Linked DNA regions of Caenorhabditis elegans. The protein of the gene in region 1 purifies or fractionates together with the protein of each later gene. This does not show direct contact. Each region holds a gene or a part of one and is shown in the gene's direction. Other genes may lie near its edges. The genes, in order: ctg-1 and Y116A8C.33.

Region 1 (6,177 bases):
CGTTCCCATGCTGATATTCTCATACATACATTTTCTCCCGTGCATACAAAATATTCTGATGCTTACGCTCAGTAGTCGAAGTACTCCCATGCATACACCTCATTTATTCCATTTTTTCGTTCCCATGCTGACATTCCCCCACATACATTTTTTCCCGTGCATACAAAATTCCCATGCTTACATCCAGTAGTCGAACGTTCCCATGCTGACATTCCCATACAAACATTTGTTCCCATACTTACAAAAATGTATTCCCATGCCGACATGGAGCATTTTTGTGCTCCAGAAGAGAACAAAGTCAATTTTTTTACTCATTTTCATTGTATTAGGCTTACTTGACAGCTTTCAGTTACAACTGATCACTTTTTTTTTCAAAATGCATTAGTTCTCGATTATGAACAAGGAATCGAAGAAAAATGGGGATGACTGCCTATAGAGTAAAATTTTTTTTTTGCTCAAAAATTTTTTTTCTCTCTATTTTGTAGGATATCATTAATTCGGTGAATTCCACAACTTTGAATGTTCATATTGCTGTTTCCGTGCAGTTATGAGTTTCGCAGTGTCTTAGGAACATTCCATTTTTTGTTGCATTTTGTAGGAATTCGGAGCTATCTTATAATTTCTACAAATTAGTATATCCATTTCGCATTATTTCATGTATCTTAAACCTATTGCTTCAAAAATAGCACAGAACGAATGTTGATTCTGTTTCTTTCATTAAAAAATGTGCTACTGTGCATTTTTTCCCACTTCTACGACTTTAAAGGCGCGCGATTTATACAAAATGGTCCCGTCATTGGTCTCGCCAGCGCTCAACAAATCAATGGGATGCGCGTGGCGAGATTATTGCGCGAAAATTCGCGCGCCTTTAAAGTCGTAGAAGTGGGAAAAAAAAATGCACAGTAGCACATTTTTTAATGAAAGAAACAGAATCAACATTCGTTCTGTGCTATTTTTGAAGCAATAGGTTTGAGATACATGAAATAATGCAAAATGGACTTTCTAATTTGTAGAAATTATAAGATAGCTCCGAATTCCTACAAAATGCAACAAAAAATGGAATGTTCCTAAGACACTGCGAAACTCATAACTGCACGGAAACAGCAATATGAACATTCAAAGTTGTGGAATTCACCGAATTAATGATATCCTACAAAATAGAGAGAAAAAAAAATGTTAAAATATGGGAATGTCAGCATGGGAACGTTCGACTACTGGATGTAAGCATGGGAATTTTGTATGCACCGGAAAAAATGTATGTATGAGAATGTCAGCATGGGAACGGAAAAAAGGGAAAACATGAGTTGTAGGCATGGGAGTACTCGAACTACTGGGCGTAAGCATGGGAATATTTTGTATGCACGGGAGAAAATGTCAGCATGGGAAATGTGTGCATGGGAAATGTGAGCATGGGATAGATTGCCTGTGCCAAACGCACAAAACGCTTTTTTTCTCATTCAACACACGTCGGTTTTTTAAATAAGTGTTACAACGACACTCAACATTAATTTTCCTGACAGATTGGCCGATTATATTTGAATACTTTGTCAAGTTAGGTGTTATTTCCAAGACCTGATATTCATTCCAAAAATCACAAAAACCATGTGATGACACCTGCAATTCTTTTCCTTAGGCTGTTTCTCGTTCCTCACCAACGATTGAAATCTACAAGAGGCCTTCGGAAGAGACGAAGGCGGTGACCGGCGCTGCTGCTGGACGAGACACGGGGGCCGATGCGACAGATTTGCGGAGATATTACACAACATAGACAATACTACAGTAACTGAGAAATAGTATAAGATTGAGTGTAGAGTGGACAGACATTCCGCCTATTCCTTCTTCTTTTCTTCTTTTTCAATCCCATCTCGTCTTTTCTTCCATCTCGTCCAATTCATTCATTGCATCGAGTAATGTTGGTGTCGCCGACTGCCGCTGCAACGTCCATCGAACAGCAAACTATTCGAGATCTCAGGTATACAGGTCTTGACACGTTTTATATTGATTTACACGTTTACAATTTTATTCCGATTAGGAATTTTTTACATCTTTATAAAGAAACCGTAATTTTTTTTCGAAAATTAAAAAAAACTACTTGTTTTTGAAAATTTTCACTGAATACCTTCTTTGAATAGATTTTGAGTTACAGATACGTAGTAACTGTTAGAACTTTAGAATAAAATATATTCAATCTTACAATAGTTTTCAACCAAATTCACAAAGTTGGGTAAGATTGTGATCTTCCATGTAGTAATCACCGTATAAACATCTTTTTATTTTTCTGTAATATCCGTTCAACTTTCGCGTACTTTCTACTTTGAACTTTTATATTCAAATTGTTTCAAAACATATTAAATTCCAATCTCAGAAGATTTTTCATTGTCACATACAATAAATAAGTTGTCCATTCTTCCCACAAGAATTGTGAACGACCTTGTTAAAATAATTATACGATGGTGAATCCCCCGCCTTAGTTTTGGATGAGATCATAGAATATCCCGGAAAAGTTGTCTTCAAATGTTTTATACTCACAAATTGTTCCCAAACAATGTAATTTTTTTTCATAAACACTCTAAAAAATTATCAGTCAACGTTTTGTAAAATTGCCAAATTTTCGTTGAAAATGAGTACTTTTAAAGAATTTTTGAGCAATTCGCTTGTTTCAATTGCTTATAATATTTGAAGACAAATACTGGGAGCACATTTGAAATATAAAAAACGTTTAAAAAATTGAAAAAAAGTTTTTTTGATTTGCTTCCAAAATTATGATAGATGAAGACTGGGTAATTGCTACGTTTTGATTATAAAGACAAAAATTTCAAAAAAAAAGAACTTGAAAAATTTTGCTATGATATTTGGTCATTTTCGCACCATAGAAAAATTTCTAAACATTTTCCCCACGGATGCTACTCTAAATTTGATAGCTTTAGTCATGCAGTATAGACTCAGAAAGCTACTGAATTTATGAACAATTAAAAATTACATTACTCACAAAAATTGGAAAGAAAATGTTCAATATTTAGATCAATAGTTCCACAAATAGACAATTTAAACGATGGTTATGTGCTCCGCTGGCTCCGTGCAAAAGAAGGACGATTTGATGAAACTGCTGAAAGCTTAAAGAAGCATGTGACATTCCGTAATGCTTGGCATCTTGATAAAATTGAACAATGGACTCCTCCAGAAGTAAGTGATGATGAATTTAATGAATCATTATAGATCATACATCACTTTTATATAGCTTCAACGATTTTATCATTCATAAGATAAAGATCCAAAAATTACAACGTTGAAAAATAAAATTTGTCAGATATTTTATAATTCAATTTTGAAAAGAAAGGGGCAAAGTTGATCAAAATCATAGAAGCTAAGGAGAAAAATGTATGAAAACATTGAAGTTTTGATTGGAAAGCTGCTGATTGAATATAAATTTAATTTCAGTGTCTAGAAAAATATTGTGGTTATGGATTGCTGGGAGACACAGAAGGACGTCCAATCCTTATGTCACTGTTGGGAAATGTGGATGTTGAAGGACTTTTGAGATCAGTTGCTTCATTGGATTATATCAAATTCTCATTGGCTGCAATTGAAAAAGGAATGAAACTTTGTGAAGAAAAAGCAAAAGAGGTGTGTTCTTTCAATGTTTGAGAAGTGTATTGATTATAAGTTAAATTATTTTCTGGCTGAAAATGAGTCCCTTTTTTTTACGATTTTTATTTTCTCAGTATGATTTCACTACTTTTATCTAAACATTGTTGGTGTTCGATTATTTGGCAGTGCTCTAAATTTCTGAAAATTTGGAAGTTACCTGAAATTTTAGAAAAATTTGAAATAGTTAGGGTGTTTTTTTAACAATATGTTTTCATTTGGAAACAAATGCATTGACCTACAAAAACAAAATATTGCAGTCCGGCCGTCCATTCGAACAAATGACATTAGTCTTTGATTTGGAAAATATCACATCTGCTCATTTTTCATGCAAACAGTTTGCTTCATCATTTACAACTCTTGTCAGTCTTTTCCAAGATCATTACCCATTGTTTCTTCGGAAGATTCTTATTATCAGGTTAGTAATAATTACGTCTTTGTTATAAATGAATACATTTCAGAGCACCAGAAATGGCTAGAATTGCGTACGCTTCTATTACGGCAATTCTTCAAGATCCGATCACTCGCCTCGTGGAAATGCCTTCCGAGGTAAGATTTTTTATTTTTGAAAAAATTCCAACAAAAAATTTTGAAGTGTATATTTTCATTATGTTTTCTAAGATTATCTATGATTTTTGTCCAAGGACTTATTTGGTTTCCTAATACAAATATTACAACTGAATAAGACTAGATCAATTCTTCGATAAAATCGTTAGAACTTTTTTAATAAGGAAAATCAAAGATCGTATTAAACGTTGAATTGAACTTTAATCAATAAATATTTTTCAGTCTGATTGGAAATGGTCTCTTGCTCAAATCGTAAACCTCGATGCATGGCCAATGTATTGGGGAGGTAATCTCGTCGAAAACGGTGACCCAAAATGTCCGTCACGTATCAAATACGGAGGTGGCGCTGTCGATGAAAGCTATTTCGTGGATCCAAAAAAGGCGATGGCTGACTACGATCAATTGACTACAGTTTACGCAGGAGATAAACATTTAATTCAGATCAAAGTGAAACGTCCAAGCCGGATAAGGTTTGTAATGGGTTTTTGTGGTGGATCAAATATTTGCAAATTTTCAACATGTATCTTAAAAGCATATTCTTGAAAAATTGCCAAATTTAAACTTTAAACAATTAGGTTGTTTTAAAATTCAATGCTCAACATTTTTGAACGCCTTATTAAAACGTATTTAAATCAGATCATGTATTATAATTTTTTGCGGTCATCTGCCAAAATTATGACTGTAATAAATAAATAAATTTCGAGTTTTACTAGAATATTCGGTGATAAATTTTGTAATAAAATATTTTCCAGCTGGACCTATATGACTGATGAAGATGACATTGGGTTTGAAATTCATTATGATAAAACAGGATCATGTGATAAGTTAACTGAAATGGAAACTGTTTATCCATATATTCGTCTCGAATGTACAAATGTTCCAATCACAGGACATCTCGATGTGACTGATGTTGGAAACTGTTCGTTTCTTCTTTTTTTTATATTTTCAACTTTTCAAGCGTTCAGATGTTCTCGAATTCGACAACTACTATTCGTGGTTCTCTGCCAAGCAATTGCGCTACAATATTGAAATCGAAGATTTGTAAATTCTAATGTTAATCGGAGGATAACGCTGATAATAATAATGTATAATTATTTACAATTTTCAAAACTAATGATTATATTAATTTTATATAAAGATCACGCTTTGTAGCTAATAAGACTATTAAACAGATCATTATTAAAGGAAACAAAAAAAGATGAAATGTGATAAACATTTGAAATAAAAACAAAAAAAAGTAAACCCGACCAAAGAAAACAGGAAAAGAAATCGAGCTAGATGGATAAGGAATGGCAAATAAACGGACAAAATTAGGATTATATCATTTAGAAATGAATAAGAATTTCTATTTATCAACAACGAATTTGAAAACTAAAAATTGACATGTTTTGGGGAAAGAGAAACGGGATGATGGAAATTATATCGCAGTTTACGAAGAACCCGTGAGTGTAGTGTGTGCAGGTAGACGAAAAGATGGAGTTAGACTAATGTCGGCGGTTTTTCTCCTGAAAATATTAAACATCAAAAAAATGTTGTTGTTTTCTTAATGAATACCTTATGTTGCTCCCGATGGTGATGATCCTTGTGATGATCTTTATGATGTTCCCGATGATGGTCCTTACTAGTTCCTTCACCATGATCCATCCGCCTTTCTCCACGATTCCTTTCTCTGTCCTTCTCTCGATCCCTTTCCTTGTGATCTTTGGCTTCTTTCGGCTTCTCCTCCTTACTCTTATGATGGTGATGGTGATGGTGATTTTTGTGTTTATCAGAAGTTATACTTCTATATCGGTCAGCCATTTCTCCAGGTTCTCTCAGAGTGAACTTGCAAAGAAATATCCACAAATAGTTATACCATTTTCGAATATTTGTTTTTGGCTTCTTTTTTATAAGAGTTTCGAGGTTTTCAAGGAACGAGTCGCCGAGTCGGGTAAGATATTTGGCCTCGTCAGCTTGATTTTTGGC
Region 2 (6,085 bases), on another chromosome or scaffold:
CTCACTTTTTGGCGGGATTCAACGCAACAACTGCACCAGCTTGTACAGCTTCAACAGGTACTGCTCCACTTTCAACAGCCGCAGCCAAATCTTCCCGAATCAATGGATTTATCACAGGTTCTTTAACTCGTTGCGGACTATTCGGAACCATTGACGGAGGTGATCGTTCTCTACGCCGACGATCTCCACCGCTTCGGCTTCGACGACGAGGTGGTGGTGATCGAGACCGCCGACGACGACGTTCACGATCTCTATCTCGAGGAGATCGAGAACGGGAACGAGAGGATCGGCGTTCACGATCTCGTTCACGTGAACGATCCTTCTTCTTTCGATCCTTCTTGCGGTCACGATCACGAGAACGTGATCGGTCCCTTTTTCGATCAGACACCGATTCCGAACGAGATGGCGATTCTGAAATATGGGGAAATTCAGAGTATTTAATTTTATTGAGTTTTTTCCATGTTTTTCTGCATTTTTTACAATTTTTTTTTGCAACTTTTCGACAAAGAAAGCCTTCAAAATCGCCAAAAAATAGCGAAAATGTGACTTTTTTTAAACTTTCGCTGTTATATCGAAAAATCCATTAATTTTTCTAATTTTTCGACTCAAAAAATGACGAAAATACAAGAATATTGTATTTTTCCACCTTTTTTGACATAAAATACAAAAATGATAGATTACTAGGTTTTTTACTCAAAATTGTCTAAAACGATGGAATGGGGAAAAATTGCCGAAATTTTCAAAAAAATACGACTTTTTCTGATTTTTCGATTAAAAAAACAAAAATAGTGCATTTTCAAGTTTCAAGACTCAAAAAACGTCGAAAAATTTTAAAAAATATAGATTTTTTGTTATTTTTCGATACAAAAAATGTACAAAATTTCCATTTTCGACACAAAAACTCACTATTATCACCAGACGACATGGAGGAAATTGTTGGCACAACAAGTGCTGGTGGTGGAGCTGCTGTTGCACTGGGGGCAGCTCCCAAATCTTCGCCAGCTTCGTTGCCCCATTTCCGGATGAATGGCATTGGCTCCGTGTTTCCACCAGTTTTCGACATCTGTAGGGTGGTTGATTTTGAGAGGGAAATACAAAGAAAAATAGAGAAATAATAGCGATTTGAGAGACGCTGAACGAAAATTGGAAAAAAAAAGGAAAATAAATTAAAACAATTCTTTTTGAAAATAAAACATATAAATTTTAAAATTCAATAAATTAAGTCTCCATAGCCTGCGGAAGCGGCTCCTGAATCTCGGCTCCCGGAACAACTGCCTTCTGGGCCAATTTTTCGGCGGCAATCCGTTTTTCCGGCTCAATTTCCCCGCTTTCCACGATTTTCACAACCATCTGAGGTTTGCCAGACGGAGTTCCTTGCTGTTCGACTTGTCGTACAATATTCATTCCTTCAACAACATGACCGAACACTACGTGTTTTCCGTCAAGCCAATCGGTTTTCTCGGTGCAAATGAAGAATTGTGAGCCATTTGTGTTCGCACCGCAGTTCGCCATTGAAACTGTGCCGGGCATTGTGTGGCGGAGCTGGAAATTTTCAGATTTTTAGAGCTTTTAGGTGAAAAAATGCTTAAAATACGGAATTTTAGATGCAAAATCGGTCTAAAACAGACAATTTTCAAATTTGGAGCGGTTTTTGAAAGAGAATGGAAAAACAATTTGGAATTTAAGATCAAAAATCGGATAAAAAAGGAAAATTCTCGAATTTTCAGCGGTTTGTGATGGAAAATTCGAGCTTTTGAGTGAAAATTGGCTAGTAATTGTTGCAATTTTGGTTAAAAACGGAAAATTTCGGAATTTTAAGAGTTTTTAGGTGGAAAATATGGGTTTTTAATGCAAAAACTGATAAAAATGCATTCAAATCCGAAATTTTAAGTGCAAAATCGGTCTCAAACGGACAATTTTCGACTCTGGATAAAGAATGGCAAAAATTTTAGATTAAAAAAGGAAAATTTTGACTTTTCTGCGGTTTTGGATGGAGAGTTTTTGAGTCAAAATTGGCTTAAAATAGTTGCAATTTTGAAATTTTTCCTATGTTTGCACCAATACTCAGAAAATTACAATTTAAGTGTTAGTTGACACAGGAATTCCAATTTTTTTAAACTCTGGGGCACGTGAAAATTTTTAAAAAACTAGTTAAAAAAAAAAAAAAAAAGTTAATTTCCCAATTTAAAAACATTTATTTCGAACATTTGAACTTCAAAAAACCGATAACTCATCGATTTTTCAACACAATCGGCGTCAAAATGAAAGTTCTTGTAGTTTTCCTTATCGGTGGGTTTTTTATTTCGTAATTTTCAGATTTTTTATTGATATTTTCAGCTCTAACAATTCAAATTTCAAGTCATCCCGCCAATTTCACATTTGTACCGGATGTATTGCTCTCTCCACCAGGTATAAATACGGGTTTTTTGGCGAATATGTTGGGGGAAATTCGATGCAATCTGCACGTACTCGGCACACAATTTTATAATTTTTTCTTCTAATGTTGAAAAGAAAAACGTGGGATTTTTTCGGGGAAAGAATGACAAAAATAAGCAAATTTTGTGCAAAACGTGGGTATAGTTTGACAACAGTTTTCGGAGACAACGGAGATTCGGCAATTTCTTATAAGAAAGTTGTTTTTTTTTCGGAATACAATTAATAAGAAGTAAACGAAAAATGGCTCAAAACTGAGCAAAACTGGCGTGACGGTGTACGATTTGATGACATTTGTTCAAAATTTGTGAAAAAAAAAATTGATGACAAAAATAAGAAAATTTTCTGCAAAACGTGACCATTTTGAACACGGCACAGAGCGGCTTTTACTACGTGGCCTAGAAAAATCAAAACTCGGCCAATGATTTATCTGGGATTATAGTTCCACCGTGGCGATTTTTGAGAAAATGTTCCGAACCCATGTTATGAAGGCCACCGAGTTTTCTTATTTTACGGCCACGTAGTAAAAACCGCTCTGTGACGGGGCGGCAAAAGCTACGTCCATAAAAGGGCGCTCTACTGTACAATGAGTATAACACCTCTGGGTTCTTTTTTTGGTACAATAAAAACTGGAAAGATCAGCTCTGTGGATTTTGAGCCACAAATATCCGTGTTTCAGTTTCCAACCGTTTCTAAATTAAATTCTTGAAAAATTTCAAAAATTTCAGCACCGTACTTCCCATCAAAATACATCGACCGTATCTCGACAGTTGCTCAACTTCCAAAAGGAATTCAATTTCAAGCTGGATTAATGAATGAGACTATTGCAATTGATGGAATTTTGAATAGCTATAGAAATTCTGATATTTCCAATTTCAAATCTGAAAATATTCTCAAATTGATTGATGATCTGAAGGCTACATCAATGGGATCTGAGCAAGAAGTATTGAAAGTGGAGAGCCAACTAATCAAGTATAATACGTTCATTGATGAATTGAAATTTGATGGAAATACTTTGGAACTACATGGAAAATATAAGTTTTTTGACACTCTTCGTGACTTAGCTATAGATGTCAAGGATTCCACTGACAATGGGCATCGTTTCATAGTCGACATGCTTGAATACATCGGCGAAATGCTGCAGTGGCTTGAAGAGGGCTTGAATGTGCCGTTCAATATTACCGAGCGTACAATGAGTCCTCAATTTTTGTTGGAAAAATTAGGTAGTATAATGCTCAAAGTCTCGAGCGTACGACATGTTGAATACCTTGAAGGAATGAACAAATCAATAGAATCGACGTTTAAGCCACTACGAGAAATGTTCAAGTTGATGAATGATCGAAATGAGATTCATATGTTAGAAACAGATGAGAAAGGAGATATTTTGAGCAGTAGCATCTTACAAATGGTCAAGCTTTCGAAGAAGAGAAACGATTCTGAGGAAGACGTCCAAAGAGTGACAAAGCTCAAAAATGATGCACAAAGAGAATTTCCACGAGTCGATTCTAAACGGCTCGGAGATCCTTGGCTGGGAAGAATTCTGAGAGCTAACAGAACATTGTTGAACCAACTGGCAGATAGCTTTAAGCCTCTACAAATTGCCCATAAAATGCTTGAAAAGTTTGATGAGGAGTTGGCAGCTATCTCTGGAAACTCTCTGATTTCTGATGGGTTTGAACACTTGAAGAATCTACTTTCATCAGTTCCACTTGACATTGAAAACTCTGCAGATGTACTGAAGAAGCTTGAAGCATGCTATCGTTTGCATCCGGCTGTGTCTCCCGATAAAGTTTATGTCGAATTTTTGCGTAACGTTACCTTGTTTTCGAATTACCTGGATAATGTTATCGATCGTTTCACATTTGAGAAAAAGTTTAACAAATTCCTGGACTCTAACTCTCTCCAACTATTAAAAAACAATCAAAGTTTTGTTAATGAAACACTGAAACGTTTTCTAGAAACTAAAAGTGTCCCGAAATTCCTGATCACAGTAAATGAACTCAGAGACCGCATCAAAGCAATCGACTATAAAGAGATTTTCATTTTTCAAAATTTGAGTAAAGCTATTGAAGAAAAACTGAAAAGCCAAGAATTCAAGGACAAGATATCTTCCGAATTGGAAGTTCACAATTGCTTGAAAAAGTTGAAAAACAACTCGGAAGCTGTTATCCGTATGGTTCCATTGATTCAAGCGTTTATGAGAGCAGATTTGCAAAATGTTCAACAGATTGCTCCATTGGTATCCAAATTTTCACACGAACTCTCTACAGTGAAAACAATTCCAGAGAAAATGAGAGAAGTTGCGAGTCCGGTGACATTGAGAATGAATGAGATGTCGCAGATGTTGAATCAAACCGATGAAATTGGCATATCTCAGAGTGTAGTTCAAAGTGTCTATAGTCTAGTGGACTTGGAGCCACTGATTAGTCAGGTCAAGGGACATGAAGATATTTCTTCCTTAGAGACAGCAATAAGTCAAGCAAAAGCTTATATTTCAAGAATTGATGTGTGGAGAGCTAAATCATTGAAAGGATACACTAATCCGCTCAAGAACTTGACAGCCGAAATTCCGGACATTGATATTATCCCAATTGAAAAGGCCCTCAGAGCCATGGATCCGGCGAGCCCTTTTCTTGAGAAGATTGCAGCGTTGGATTTTATTTTATCAAAGCACAATACAATTTTGCAATGGGCCCCATTCAAATTTGGAGTTCTTCAGGAATTTCTAGAGGTACTGTAAATTTGGTTATCGATCCTTGAATTTTGCAAAAAAATTTGTCGCACAGAAAGTGGGGCGGAGCGTAGCTTCACAACACTGCCGCATGAGGTATTTCCCCGCAATATAATTTCAATTTTACTTGTATTTTTCTCGATTTTTCGAATGAAAATGTTATCCAATTCGAAAAGAAGAGAAAAATTTTGCGTAGCTCCGTCCCACTTTCTGTGCAACAAAATTTTTTGCAAATTTTAAGGATCGATAAATAAATTTTGGTAGTAGTGTCATGATATAAAATAGAGAACAATTTCAGATCGTTCTTCTTCTGAAACGAGATGCATTTGAATAGAACTATTGATTTTTTTTTTGCCAAAAATCAATAAATTTTTTATCTCGTTTCGTTATTTTTTCAAAAATTTCGCATATTTTGGCACATTTTCTACAGAAAATTTGATGTTTAGCACGAATTATTGGCATAATTACCAAATAACGTTGTGAAAATGCGATTTTTTACAGTATTTTTTCTAGTATACCGCTCATCAAAATTTGTGCCTAACCGTGAAATTCTCATCATCAAATTTCGTTCCATAGATCGACTTCCCGCCGGTTCCGTCTCCTTTCGTAAAGTCACCGCCTTGAAGCATAAATTTTGGAATAATCCGATGAAATATCGATCCTTCATAACCGAATCCTCGTTCTCCTGTGCACAAACATCTGAAGTTTTCGGCAGTTTTCGGTGTAACGTCAGTTCTTAACTCGATCACTATTCGTCCAATATATCGAATTCCAATCTTCACTCCCAGATAGACACGTGGAAGCTTCGTCGAGGCTGACGACGATGACGTGGCGGCTTTTTCAGCGTCTCCGTCTTCTTCCGCAGCAGCTTCTCCACCTCTTCCATACTTTTTGAGCCATTCGTCGTCTGCCCAGACAGGT

What was found.
Region 2: the proteins of ctg-1 (region 1) and Y116A8C.33 fractionate together in Caenorhabditis elegans (co-fractionation; one large-scale study listed by BioGRID). This does not show direct contact.

Annotation. Positions count from the first base shown.
Region 1 is NC_003279.8:7,003,810-7,009,986, forward strand, and holds ctg-1 (Protein ctg-1), read left to right. Parts: upstream 1-1,633; 5' UTR 1,634-1,910; coding exon 1,911-1,972; intron 1,973-3,020; coding exon 3,021-3,183; intron 3,184-3,438; coding exon 3,439-3,624; intron 3,625-3,905; coding exon 3,906-4,063; intron 4,064-4,106; coding exon 4,107-4,194; intron 4,195-4,434; coding exon 4,435-4,682; intron 4,683-4,964; coding exon 4,965-5,131; intron 5,132-5,177; coding exon 5,178-5,257; 3' UTR 5,258-5,391; downstream 5,392-6,177. Other genes in the region: chd-1 (Chromodomain-helicase-DNA-binding protein 1), read right to left, coding at 5,697-5,717, 5,767-6,177. UniProt on the Caenorhabditis elegans protein: Vesicle trafficking protein. Functions in uterine cells to promote basement membrane (BM) mobility and BM gap formation during tissue remodeling.
Region 2 is NC_003282.8:17,109,920-17,116,004, forward strand, and holds Y116A8C.33 (uncharacterized protein), read left to right. Parts: upstream 1-2,193; 5' UTR 2,194-2,261; coding exon 2,262-2,289; intron 2,290-2,337; coding exon 2,338-2,409; intron 2,410-3,161; coding exon 3,162-5,164; intron 5,165-5,462; coding exon 5,463-5,498; 3' UTR 5,499-5,547; downstream 5,548-6,085. Other genes in the region: sfa-1 (Branchpoint-bridging protein), read right to left, coding at 6-411, 907-1,063; cyn-13 (Peptidyl-prolyl cis-trans isomerase E), read right to left, coding at 1,219-1,542, 5,707-6,085.